Linked DNA regions of Caenorhabditis elegans. The protein of the gene in region 1 purifies or fractionates together with the protein of each later gene. This does not show direct contact. Each region holds a gene or a part of one and is shown in the gene's direction. Other genes may lie near its edges.

Region 1 (7,281 bases):
TTACCCTGCCTGTTTGCAATCTTCCATCGAATACATTCACTGTTCCGAGTACCGAAAACATCTCCAATTGAATCAAAATGATCTCGAATTCCAATCTATTATGTTTGTTCGATCTTTGTGCTGTCTGCGTCTCTCTCTTTCTCTCTCCCCCGCCAAACTTTCCCTCCACTGTTTACCAATTCCCTTTGATAAATAATTTTTACGGTGATTTCTAAATGATAATACGGTAATAAAGATAACTCGCCCAATACACGTGGACAACTGCTTTTTCTGGAAATTTCTGGACCAACATCCAGGGATAAATGGAAGTATACGTGACTGACCGCACTTTAAATCGTCGAAAACATTGGACATTTCTCTCCGCTCTCCGTCTCACGTTTTCACTATCCCTCCCGCAACTTTTCACTATAAAATTCGCATTTTGTCGAGTGTTAGGCGAATTTTTTTCGAATCGGATTTATTTTTACTCTGAACTTTTTTTTCTTCAAAACTAAATATATTGTCAGATTGAATATTTTTTAATCACAAAACCGTTCAAATTATTATTGGAAAACGATTTTTTAAGCATTATGGACGACAATTACACTCAAAATAATAAAACTGCGTGGCGTGTACTGCAGAAAACCTAATATTTAGGCCCCGCCTTTTAATCGTCCACTCACGGGGAAAACGCAAAAAGCGGTACCCCAGGCAATATCAGCCGCCGACATCATTCGAGGTCCGCGCACCACACTATTTTTCTCACTGTTGGCGTGGCGAGCTGTCCCCCCCTCCCCTATTTTTGTTTTTTCCCCGTGAGTGGACGATTAAAAGGCGGGGCCTAAATATTAGGTTTTCTGCAGTACACGCCACGCAGTTTTATTATTTTGAGTGTAATTAATTTCCTAAAAAACATAAAAACAAAACGTTTGTTACAGTAATCCTTTAAAGGCGCACGCCTTCCCTTCTGGCTTCGGGTCTCACTGCGATTTCTACAAAACATTGTTAAAAAAATTTTTTCACTTTTTATTTTTCTAGTGTTTTCAAAATATTTTTGAATATTTTTAGATTACTTTATATAAAGAATAACACTTGAGAAATTTCAAGAAAATCTAAACAAAAGCAGTTGCTAGCAAAATAGCAGTAAAAAAACTTAAAAATTTCTACAGTAATCTTTTAATGGGACAAATTGCTTTTCTGTACTTAGGGTTTCACAACGATGATGGTTTTAAAGCTTTTTTATTCATTTTTCAATGTATTTTAGCGATCTTTGACCGATTCTCCCGGATTTTCACAGGTTTCTCTACTAAATTAAATATTTTGCACTACTTTCCACCTCGAAATATTCAAAAATCAGCGCATTAATGTTTGTTTACCACAAAGTTCAAAGTATCAGCGGGCAACACAAAGTATTTTGTTGCCTGATCGCCTCATTCTCCCGCCTTTCTATTTCGCCGTCGCTCGCTTCTCTGTGCTCTCCCAGTTTTGCATGCTATCTCGCCGCTCGGCCTCTGTTCTTCTCAATGACCGGCAACATGAGATTAACAGATTTTACCATCTAAATTGCCATTTCGACGCCGTAAAAATTCGATTTCCTTTTTAATTTCCAATTTTTCAATGCAAAATTCTCTATTTTAAATTTCTAAATTTCAAAATTCAATAAATTCTTACAGAAATGGCCTCGGAAACCAGTCAATTCGGAATCGAGACCGACTCGATCACCCTTCAACGTTACGTGCTCCAAGAGCAGCGTAAGCATGCCGATGCAAGTGGAGAGCTTACCGCGTTGCTCACCAACATGCTCGTCGCCATCAAGGCAATCGCTTCAGCCACCCAGAAGGCAGGACTCGCGAAATTGTATGGAATTTGGGATTTATCACGAAAAATCTATTTAAAAATACGCAAACATTGCCAAAAAATTGCTATGAAAGTTCAAATTTTCGATAAATCGGTCTAGTTTTAGCTAAAATCTCAAATTTTGGTCATATTTCCGTACTTTTACCAAAATTTTGAGATTTTAGCTAAAATTTGCATTTTTTTTTTCGATATTTTGAGACATTTTTGTTCATTTGGACGCATTTCTAATATTATAAGAGCACAAAATTCTGAGAATGCGTACGGTACAACATATTTGACGCGCAAAATATCTCGTAGCGAAAACTACAGTAATTCTTTAACTGATTACTGTAGCGCTGGTGTCGATTTACGGGAATGGATCTTTTTTTTCGAAATTCGATTAAGAGTGTCGGTTTTTCGATTAATTCAAAAAATCGGAAAACGAAAAATTTTCGATTTTTCGTATTTTTTTTTCAATTTTTTCGATTTTTTTTAGGCGAAAAAATTTGGTAATTGTTCTTTTTGTTAGAATAAAATATTATGTTTTTATCATCAACATAAACAAAATTAAATTGAATAAAAAATCACATTTAATGGTTAATTTTCAGATTTTTTTTTCCGATTTTTGGGAAATCAAACTTTTTTCGGGTTTTAGAATTCCCCTCAAAAAATCGAAAATTCGAAAAAAAAAATCGAAAAACCCTTTTTTTTTCCTTATTTTGTGCTTATTTTTAATGTTTCCGTAAATCGACACAAGAGCTACAGTAGTCATTTAAATAATTACTGTAGTTTTCGCTAAGAGATATTTTGCGCGTCATATATGTTGCGCAATACGCATTCTCAGAATTTTCGAGAAAAATAATCAAAAAACTAAAATTTTTCGTTTTTCGATTTTTTTAAAAATTCGGAAAACCGACACCCTTGCTCGTAAAATAAATAAAATTAAAGGTGGTTTAGTCGAAATTTTTTTAATTGCTTAATTATCCTCAAAATAGTCTGAAAATAGTCTGAAAACGCCGAATTTTATAATGAAACATCTTGAAAACTTCTCAAAAAAAAGTTATGACGGCTCAAAAATTGGCCTAAAATTAGTTAAAATTTGAAATGTGACCGACTTGTCAAACCGCTGGAAACTTATTTTTTTGAAATCACCGTCAAATTTTGGGTATATAATTTAATTATCTTGCGTTTTCAACTCGATTTGGGTATTTTAAAGTCGATGGACGGCAAGATTTGGTGAAAAAAGTTAAACAATTCTTGCCGTCCATCGTCTTTAAAATACCTAAATGAAGTTGAAAACGCCAAGATAATTACATTATATACCCAAAATAAGACGGTAATTTCAAAAAAGTTAGTTTCCAGCCGCTTGACAAGTCGGTCAAATTTCAAATTTCAATTAATTTTAGGCCGTTTTTCGAGCCGTCATAACTTTTTTTTGAGAAGTTTTCAAGAAGTTTCATTATGAAATTCGGTGTTTTCAGAAAATTTTGAGTCTAATAAAGCAATAAAAAATTGACTACACCACCTTTAAATAAATTTTCAGTATTCCTTAAAAAACTAAATATATATATATATATATTCCAGATACGGAATCGCTGGAGCCACCAACGTACAAGGCGAGGAAGTGAAGAAGCTTGACGTGCTGAGCAATGAGCTCATGATCAACATGCTCAAGAGCAGCTACACAACATGTCTCCTAGTCTCCGAGGAGAACGATGAGCTCATTGAGGTGGAGGAGCAACGTCGTGGAAAGTACATTGTGACTTTTGATCCATTGGATGGATCTTCCAATATCGATTGCCTCGTCTCAATCGGAACCATCTTCGGAATCTACAAAAAACGTGGAGATGGTCCGGCGACTGTCGATGATGTTCTGAAGCCTGGAAAGGAAATGGTGGCAGCTGGTTATGCTCTCTATGGATCTGCTACTATGGTCGTTTTGTCCACTGGTGATGGTGTCAATGGGTTCACTCTTGACCCTGTTAGTAGTCTTTTTTTTCGAGTTTTTTTGTGGTGAAAATTGGATAAAAATTCAGTTTTTTTTTTTCAGAAAAATCCGGTTAAAATTAGAAAAATTGAGTATTTTTAGACATTTTTTCAATCTTGTTAGGGATATTTAATTTGAAAGCCTTTTTAAAATCAAAGATTTCACCATTTTCAAATAGTTTTTACCTATTTCTCCTTATTTTTGAAATTTTGAGAAAAAACAAAACGATTTTTCACTTTTCAAATTAAAAAAAAAACTAAAAATATTAAATTTCAGATTAAAAAAATAACTCTTTAAAAAAATTTTTAAATTAAAAAAAATCGATTTTCAGAATTTTTTTTAAATATTAAATCTCCGAAAAAAAAACAAAAATTTTAATTTTAAAAAAATTGATTTTCAGATAAAAAATTAATTACATCTCTCTGAAAAAAAAACTTGAAAAATTGCACAAAATCGATATTGAGAATTTTAAAAATTAAAAATTAATTAAAAATAAATATCTCTGAAAATCTAGAAAAAATCGAAAAAAAAAAGATTTTCGGACTGTAAAAAAATTAAAAACTCATTTGAAAAAAAAGTTAAAATCTCTGAAAAAACTTGAAAAATCAAAAAAATCCGATTTTTAAATAACATCCCTCTGAATAAATTAAAAAAAAAAATGATTTTGAGATTTTTTTAAAACAATTAAATATCCCTAAAATGTCTTGACAAATCGCAAAAAAACGTGTTTTTTATTAAATATCTCTTAAAAAATTTTAAACAGCAATACGAAATCGATTTTCAGGTTTTTTAGAGTTAAATCTCTCTGAAAAAAATTGAAAAATCAAAAAACATTCGATTTTCAGACTTAAAAGATTAAATCTCTCTGAAAAATTTTAAAAATTCAAAAAAAAATTGTTTTTCAGACTTTAAAAATTTAATCTTTAGGAAAAAATTGAAAAATCTTAGAAAAAATAAATCAAAAACACTTTTTCGAAATTTGAAAAAGCGAAAAAAATAAATAAAATCAGTTATTTTTTTTTTTTGAAAAATCGATAATTTTTCAGTCCATCGGAGAGTTCATCCTAACCCACCCAAATATGAAATGCAAGGAAAAGGGTTCAATCTACTCGCTAAACGAAGGATATGCTCAGACATGGAGCAAGGGTTTCGCCGAGTATATTCGTACACGAAAGTATCCAGAAGCCGGCAAAAAGGCAATGGGACAGAGATATGTCGGGTCGATGGTTGCCGATGTTCATCGTACAATTCTCAACGGAGGAATCTTTCTCTATCCACCAACTGTATCGGCTCCAAATGGAAAGCTCCGCTTGTTGTACGAGTGTAATCCGATGGCTTATATCATTGAACAGGCCGGAGGTCTCGCCACGACTGGAAAAGAACGTATTCTTGATATTCAGCCAACACAGGTAATTTTCCACAAATCGAGGAGAAAAGACCCTGAAACCAAATTGCCGGTTTGCCGATTTGCCGGAAATTTTCAATTCCGGCAATTTGCCTATTTTCCTAAAATTTCAATTCCGGCAATTTGCCGATTTGGCGGAAATTTAAATTCCGGCAATTTGCCGATTCGCCGGAAATTTCAATTCCGGCAATTTGCTAATTTGACGGGAATTCCAAATTCCGGCAATTCGCTGATTTGCCGGAAATTTTCAATTCCGGCAATTTGCCGATTTTCCGGAAATTTTAAATTCCGGCAATTTGCCGATTTTCCGGAAATTTTAAATTCCGGCAATTTGCCGATTTTCCGGAAATTTTCAATTCCGGCAATTGGCAGATTTTTCGGAAATTTCAATTTCGGCAATTGGCCGATTTGCCGGAAATTTTCAATTCCGGCAAATTGCCGTTTTTCTGGAAATTTCAATTCCGGCAATTTGCCGATTTGTCGGAAATTTCAATTCCGGAAATTTGCTAATTTGACGGAAATTCCAAATTCCGGCAATTCGCTGATTTGCCGGAAATTTTCAATTCCGGCAATTGGCCGATTTTCTGGAAATTTTAAATTCCGCCAATTTGCTGATTTTTTGGAAATTTCAATTCTGGCAATTTTCCGCTTTGCCGGAAATTTCAACTCTGGCAATTTGCCGGAAATTTCAATTTTGGCAATTTGCCGATTTGTCGGAAATTTTCAATTCCGGCAATTTGCCGATTTTCTGGAAATTTCAATTCCGGCAATTTGCCAATTTGCCGGAAATTTTCAATTCTGGAAAAGAACGCATTCTCGATATTCAGCCAACACAGGTGTGTAGCGGAAAAAAATTTGAAATTTTCCACAAATCGAGGAGAAAAAACCGTGAAACCAAATTGCCGGCTTTCTGATTTGCCGGAAATTTTAAATTCCGGCAATTTGCCGATTTGCCGGAAATTTCAATTCCGGCAATTGGCAGATTTTTCGGAAATTTCAATTTCGGCAATTGGCCGATTTGCCGGAAATTTTCAATTCTGGAAAATTGCCGATTTTCTGGAAATTTTCAATTTTGGCAATTTGCCGATTTGCCGGAGATTTTAAATTCCGCCAATTTGTCTATTTTCCTAACATAAAGTTTAAATTTCGGCGTAATTTAAATTTTTGAGACACAATTTCCGGTAAAAATTTATATAAAAATTTTGAAAAAAAATTTTCCCGAAAGTTACTTTTAAAAAAATTGTTAAAACATTCCAAAAATTCAAAAAAAACAAATTCTTCAGATTCACCAACGCGCTCCAATCATTCTCGGATCGAAACTCGACGTCGAGGAGGCTCTCGAATATCTTGCCAAATATGATAATTAGGGTCCCCCAAGTCAAATTTTTTTATTCGAGTAGTAGTTCTTTTTAAATGTTTACATGTACATCACCCTCATTCTTCAGCACTTATTCTTATTTTTTCTAATTTCAACTGTTTTTTCCACGTTTTTTTGTGCCAAATTTGGTATATATTGCATGCTAATCGAAAATTATATGAACTTTTTTTGTCGAGGAATTTTGTACGAAGAGCCAACCGATGCGGAGCAGAAAATTATTTTAGAAAATTTTTTGCAATAAAATTTTTTTTTGGAAATCGAATTTTTCGGTCAAAAAAAACCCCCATTTTTATCCTTTTCACATATTACGGGAACAAAAAATTCAGAGAATGCGTACAGTGCAACATATTTGACGCGCAAAATATCTCGTAGCGAAAACTACAGTAATACTTTAAATAACTACTGTAGCGCTCTTGTGTCGATTTACGGAAATTGAGCGATGAAATATTTGAAGAAAACACAAACATTACGAAAAAATTTAAAAAATCGAATGTTGCTGTCACAATTCGAAAAGAAATCCACCTCGAAAATCGAGGCTCCGTAAATCGACCTACAGTACTCATATAAAGAATTACTGTAGTTTTCGCTACGAGATATTTTGCGCGTCAAATATATTGCATAATACGCATTCTCAAAAATTTGTTTGCCTGTAATAAAACTCAGCAAATTTTTTGATAAATCTATGAAATTTTCAAT
Region 2 (5,579 bases), 1.4 Mb from region 1:
CGGTAATCAGGGAAAAAACGTTCCATCTGCAAAGAAGGCTTAGAAAATTTAGAATTTGATTTCAATTTTGAGTACGCCAGTCGGAGCACGCGCTTCAGCGCGTGCGAACGGCTGGTATATATATATATAAGTTATTGGTAAATTGTAAATAAGTTTGTAAATGGTTTAAAATAAACCTCACAATATTTTGTACTTCTTCTTAATTGATTCTTCGTTTCTAAAATTACTTGAATAACCCAATAAGAAGTAGCTTTGTCTTCAGTATAAAGATCAATTTTTTTGGCGATGGATCACTTGTAAATAGTAGCTGAAGTCTATATTTCTTGCTCTCTACATTCAAACCATGCATATGAAAAGAATCTGTTCTCGTGAACGTATGTTCTATAGAAGGCACCTCCAGGATTCGCTTTCGAACGACCGATGCAGATTTTTTCGAACAAAGAGATAAAATGAAAACGTCTGGTTCATTCATTTCCTTGAGCAATTGTGAATGAACCACACTTGGTAGAGAGAATAATTTGACGGACATTCTAGAAAAAATTCTGTAATGTTGCGTACTTGGTTTAAAGTTATGCTATACAACTAAATTAATATCCAGTTGAGAAAATGAAGAAAGTTTAAATAAATGTAAAATTAAAAAAAAATACAACGATTTTCAATCAAAGATTAGAGTGAGTCTTTCGGAGAAAAAGAGCAACTCAATGACCAGCTTGAATTTATCGATCTGACAAGACAAGAGATTTTATTTCTGAAGAGCGACAGTGATATTCCATTTTCCTTCGGTTCTTCGTATTATTTTCTCATTTTTCGCTTACTATTAGTATTATATCGATTAATCAATTATTTTAATTGTTTTCGAAAAACGAGCCCGTAAATCGACACCACAGTAGTCATTTACATAATTACTGTAGTTTTCGCTACGAGATATTTTGCTCGCAAAATGCTGCTCAATACGCATTCTCAGAATTTTGTGTTCCTGTACTAAAAATCTATTCCACGTAATTCTAAAACTAAAGGTTCACAGATATATCAGTTTTTCAGATTTAACACTTTTTTCGGGTTTTTTTGTAATTTCCCAATTTTCTTAAAATTATCATGTTCGGCACTATCTTATTATCTATCCAGTTGTTTTTTTTTCAAATGAAAATCAATTTATTGCTCCACAGAAAAACATATTGAATGCGGTGTTGACAAGTTTTACCGAGTGAGAGACTACACAAATTTTAGAGATGGAAAAGAGAACAATGTGTGCTGGGTCTTTTATGAATCGAATCGTTTACAAATGGATTTGCGTTCATTCCTATTTCATTTTGATGATAAAAATGAAAGAAATTGACCAAATTTTCTACCGCAAAAAATTAAATTTTGAAAATGAAGTTTTCCCGCGGTTTTCATAGAAAGTGTGCGGCGCTTGCGTTTGGACTCCGCCCACCTCACTGAAATGTTTCCCGCACTCATTCTTCATTTTATTCGCTATTCTTGTCTTTTTCCGCGCTTCCGCTTTCTTCCGCGCACTGTTTCGATTTTTCTTTGTTCAGCTTCCTCGTTCTCGCACCCAATTCGCACCGAATCGAATTCGATTCATTGCGAAATCTCTCGTAATCTCGCCTCCCCTATTTTTCGTCGTTTATAAGTTAGCAAAAACAATTTTAAAGTTTTTTCTTTCAGAGCAACCTCTCCTGGGTTACTATGAAGCACCTGACTGCCTCAGAGGTCCGCTCTACCTTCATCAACTTTTTCCGAGAGAAGAAGGAGCACACTTATGTACATTCGTCGTCTGTTATTCCGCACGATGACCCAACTCTTCTTTTCGCCAACGCGGGAATGAACCAAGTAAGAATATTCAAACGGCTTTTCTTGCAATTAATAATTAAAATTTTCAGTTCAAGCCGTTGTTCCTCGGAATCGCCGATCCAAACAGCGACCTTGCCAAGCTGAAAAGAGCCGTGAACACGCAGAAGTGCATTCGCGCCGGTGGAAAGCATAACGACTTGGACGATGTCGGCAAAGATGTCTACCATCACACATACTTCGAGATGCTTGGAAATTGGTCTTTCGGTGATTATTTCAAGGTTAGAAATTGATTTAGTTAATTAAATTTCTTTAAAAAAATAATTTTCAGAAAGAAATCATCACATGGGCTTGGGAACTTCTCACAACAGTATACGGAATCCCAGCGGAACGTCTTTATGTGTCGGTTTTTGGTGGCGACGAGGCAAACGGAGTCCCCGCCGACTCTGAAGCTCGTGATATCTGGAGATCCGTCGGAGTGCCAGACGAGCGCATTTTGAACTTCGGTATGAAGGATAACTTCTGGGAGATGGGAGATGTTGGACCATGTGGACCATGCTCTGAGATTCACTATGATCGCATTGGAAATCGTGACGCATCTCATCTTGTCAACGCCGATGATCCAATGGTTGTTGAAATCTGGAATCTTGTCTTCATTCAATTCAATCGCGAGGAAGGAGGCGTCCTGAAACCATTGCCAGCGAAGCACATCGATTGTGGTCTTGGACTCGAACGATTGATTGCTGTGATGCAGGATAAGACGAGCAACTACGATACGGACATTTTCCAACCAATTTTCGAGGCGATTCACAAAGGAAGTGGCGTTCGTGCCTATACTGGCTTCATTGGTGACGAAGACAAAGACGGAGTGGACATGGCATATCGTGTAGTTGCTGATCACGTCAGAACATTGACCATTGCTCTCTCTGATGGTGGCCGTCCGGATAATTCTGGAAGAGGATATGTGCTCCGTCGAATTCTTCGTCGTGGAGTTCGTTATGCCAGCGAAAAGTTGAATGCACAGCCTGGATTCTTCGCATCACTCGTTCCAGTGGTTATTTCAATTCTCGGAGAGACTTTCCCAGAACTCAGCCGTGATCCAGTGACCGTCATGGATATCATCAACGACGAGGAGAAGCAATTCCTGAAAACGTTGTCTCGTGGACGTGTTCTCTTCCAACGCGCTGTTCAATCGCTTCCAGAAGGAACCATGACGTTCCCTGGAGATGTTTCATGGAGACTCTACGATACATATGGATTCCCAGCTGACTTGACTCAACTGATGGCCGAAGAGAAAGGATTGTCTGTCGATAATACTGCTTTCGAGGAGGCTCGCAGGAAAGCCATCGAGACATCATCAGCTGGAACTGGAAAGTTCCGTGACACGCTGGATTTGGATGTTCACGCATTGGCTGAGCTTCAACAGAAGGGAGTTCCAACTACCGACGATTCGCCAAAGTACGCTTACACGTTTACTGGAGAAGGATCCGATGCTGTGTACAGTATGTTTTTTGTTTGTTTTTATGAACTTGTAATAATTATTTTTCTTCAGAGTTTGAGCCATGCGTTGGAAAGATTCTTGCTATTCGCCGAGACGGAAAGTTTGTCGATCAACTTGCTGCCGGAGAAGAAGGAGCCATTCTTCTCGATCGGACAAATTTCTACGCCGAGCAGGGAGGTCAGATCTACGACGTCGGAGTTTTGACAAAAGTCAATGACGAGTCGAACGAGTTCAACGTGAGCAACTGCCAAGTTCGTGGTGGATACATCGTGCTTGTTGGATCCGCCGAAGGAAGCTTCTCAGTCGGTGATCAGGTCAACGAACGATTCGATGAAGACCGGAAGCAACTGATCATGAAGAATCACACCGGAACTCATGTCCTCAACTATGCTCTTCGCAAAGTTCTCGCCGATTCGGATCAGAAGGGATCACTCGTTGCTCCAGATCGTATGAGATTCGACTTCACCAACAAAGCTGGAATGACTGTTCAGCAAGTGAAGAAAGCCGAGGAATACGCTCAACAGCTGATTGACACAAAAGGACAAGTTTACGCCAAGAACTCGCCACTTGGAGAAGCCAAAAAAGTCAAGGGACTTCGTGCGATGTTTGATGAAACATACCCAGATCCAGTTCGTGTTGTCGCTGTCGGAACTCCAGTTGAGCAACTTCTCCAGAATCCTGATGCAGAGGAGGGACAGAACACGACTGTCGAGTTCTGCGGAGGAACGTGAGTACTAATTCTTTTTATATTTTATGATGATACCCGTTAAATTTTGATATAATTTTTATAATTTCAGCCATCTCCAGAACGTGTCTCACATTGGCCGCATTGTCATCGCATCGGAAGAAGCTATTGCTAAAGGAATCCGTCGTATCGTTGCATTGACAGGACCAGAAGCTGAAAGAGCCATTGCCAGAGCCGATCGACTGACTGCTCGATTAGAAGAAGAATCGAAGCATGCCGATAAGAAGGATGAGCTCTTGGCCAACAAGGATAAGTTCAAGGCTCTCCAGAAGAAGATTCAAGAAATTGTCGATGAAGCCAACGGAGCTCAGCTGCCATACTGGCGAAAGGATTCTATCCGTGAAAAGGCAAAGGCCATTCAGAAGACTTTGGATGGATACACAAAGGCACAACAAGCCGCTGTCGCTGAAAAGGTTCTTGGAGAAGCCAAGGAACTTGCTGCTGTCGCTGAGCAGCCTACTGTTCTCGTTCACGTCTTCGCCGCCAATGCTAACAGCAAAGCCATCGATAATGCTCTGAAACTTCTCAAGGACACAAAAGCAGTTATGGCTTTCTCTGTGAATGAAGATTCTGGAAAAGTTTTGTGTCTTGCTAAAGTTGATAAGGTGAGAAATTTGAAATTTTGAAACAATTCAGAAAAATAATATAATTTTTTCAGAGCTTGGTGAGCAACGGCCTGAAAGCCAACGAGTGGGTGAATGAAGTTTGCACAGTTCTCGGTGGAAAAGGTGGTGGAAAGGACGCAAATGCTCAGCTCACCGGAGAGAATGTCGATAAACTTGATGCTGCCGTCGAACTCGCCCAGAAATTTGCCCTTGCTGCAATCAATTAATTTCCCCAATTTTCAATCTATTTCCTGTTTTTCATATCGCTTCCTTTCCTCTATTTATTGTTGTCTGTTGCATTCTAGTTCATTGCTCTCCCTCCCCGTCATTATATTTATTTCGTATTTCTATTTTATGTTTCAATTTGTTTGCTGGTTTGTCGAGGTTTCAAAATGTTTATGCAGTAAATAGAGGCCAAACTTTTTCCCATTTCACGAAAACAACAATTTTGAGTGGGTTGGACGCGACAGCTGGACAGCTGCTCAACTCGCGGATCAACAACACCTCGATCGATTTCAAAAAAAAAAGTACCTTCGACTTGTCAGCCAACAAGTTTCGAAAGATTCTGGAGATTTCTGAAAGTGACGTGGCATTACACTTCAGACATCTCTAATTTGTGGCACAGCTATCTGAACATTACAATGGACAAAAATGTGAAGAACAACAAAAGAAACGGAACGGCAATGAATTCCAGATGGCGATGAATGTGTTTTACGGAGGAAAAGAGCAGATTTTTGCAATTTTGCAGATTAGAAAAATGATTTGAGAACAAATTCCAGACATATGCTTAAGAGATAAGTTTCTTGATTCCCGGTCGTGTACTGCTCTGGGACAATCAATTGATAAAAATATTAATATATCTATCCAATATATTCAATTATATATCCAAAAAGATATATCCAATTGAATTCGGGCGATTTTTCGTGTTTTATCATGA

Evidence for each region. Proteins that work in one complex are often made in the same cells at the same time.
Region 2: the proteins of fbp-1 (region 1) and aars-2 fractionate together in Caenorhabditis elegans (co-fractionation; one large-scale study listed by BioGRID). This does not show direct contact.

What each region holds. Positions count from the first base shown.
Region 1 is NC_003279.8:2,580,496-2,587,776, reverse strand, and holds fbp-1 (Fructose-1,6-bisphosphatase isozyme 2), read left to right. Parts: upstream 1-1,652; 5' UTR 1,653-1,654; coding exon 1,655-1,836; intron 1,837-3,399; coding exon 3,400-3,796; intron 3,797-4,848; coding exon 4,849-5,211; exon of another isoform or gene 5,212-6,043; intron 6,044-6,490; coding exon 6,491-6,574; 3' UTR 6,575-6,762; downstream 6,763-7,281. Other genes in the region: ptr-12 (SSD domain-containing protein), read left to right, coding at 1-81.
Region 2 is NC_003279.8:3,981,516-3,987,094, forward strand, and holds aars-2 (Alanine--tRNA ligase, cytoplasmic), read left to right. Parts: upstream 1-1,667; 5' UTR 1,668-1,689; coding exon 1,690-1,833; intron 1,834-1,883; coding exon 1,884-2,072; intron 2,073-2,122; coding exon 2,123-3,293; intron 3,294-3,343; coding exon 3,344-4,019; intron 4,020-4,089; coding exon 4,090-4,642; intron 4,643-4,695; coding exon 4,696-4,869; 3' UTR 4,870-5,066; downstream 5,067-5,579. UniProt on the Caenorhabditis elegans protein: Catalyzes the attachment of alanine to tRNA(Ala) in a two-step reaction: alanine is first activated by ATP to form Ala-AMP and then transferred to the acceptor end of tRNA(Ala). Also edits incorrectly charged tRNA(Ala) via its editing domain.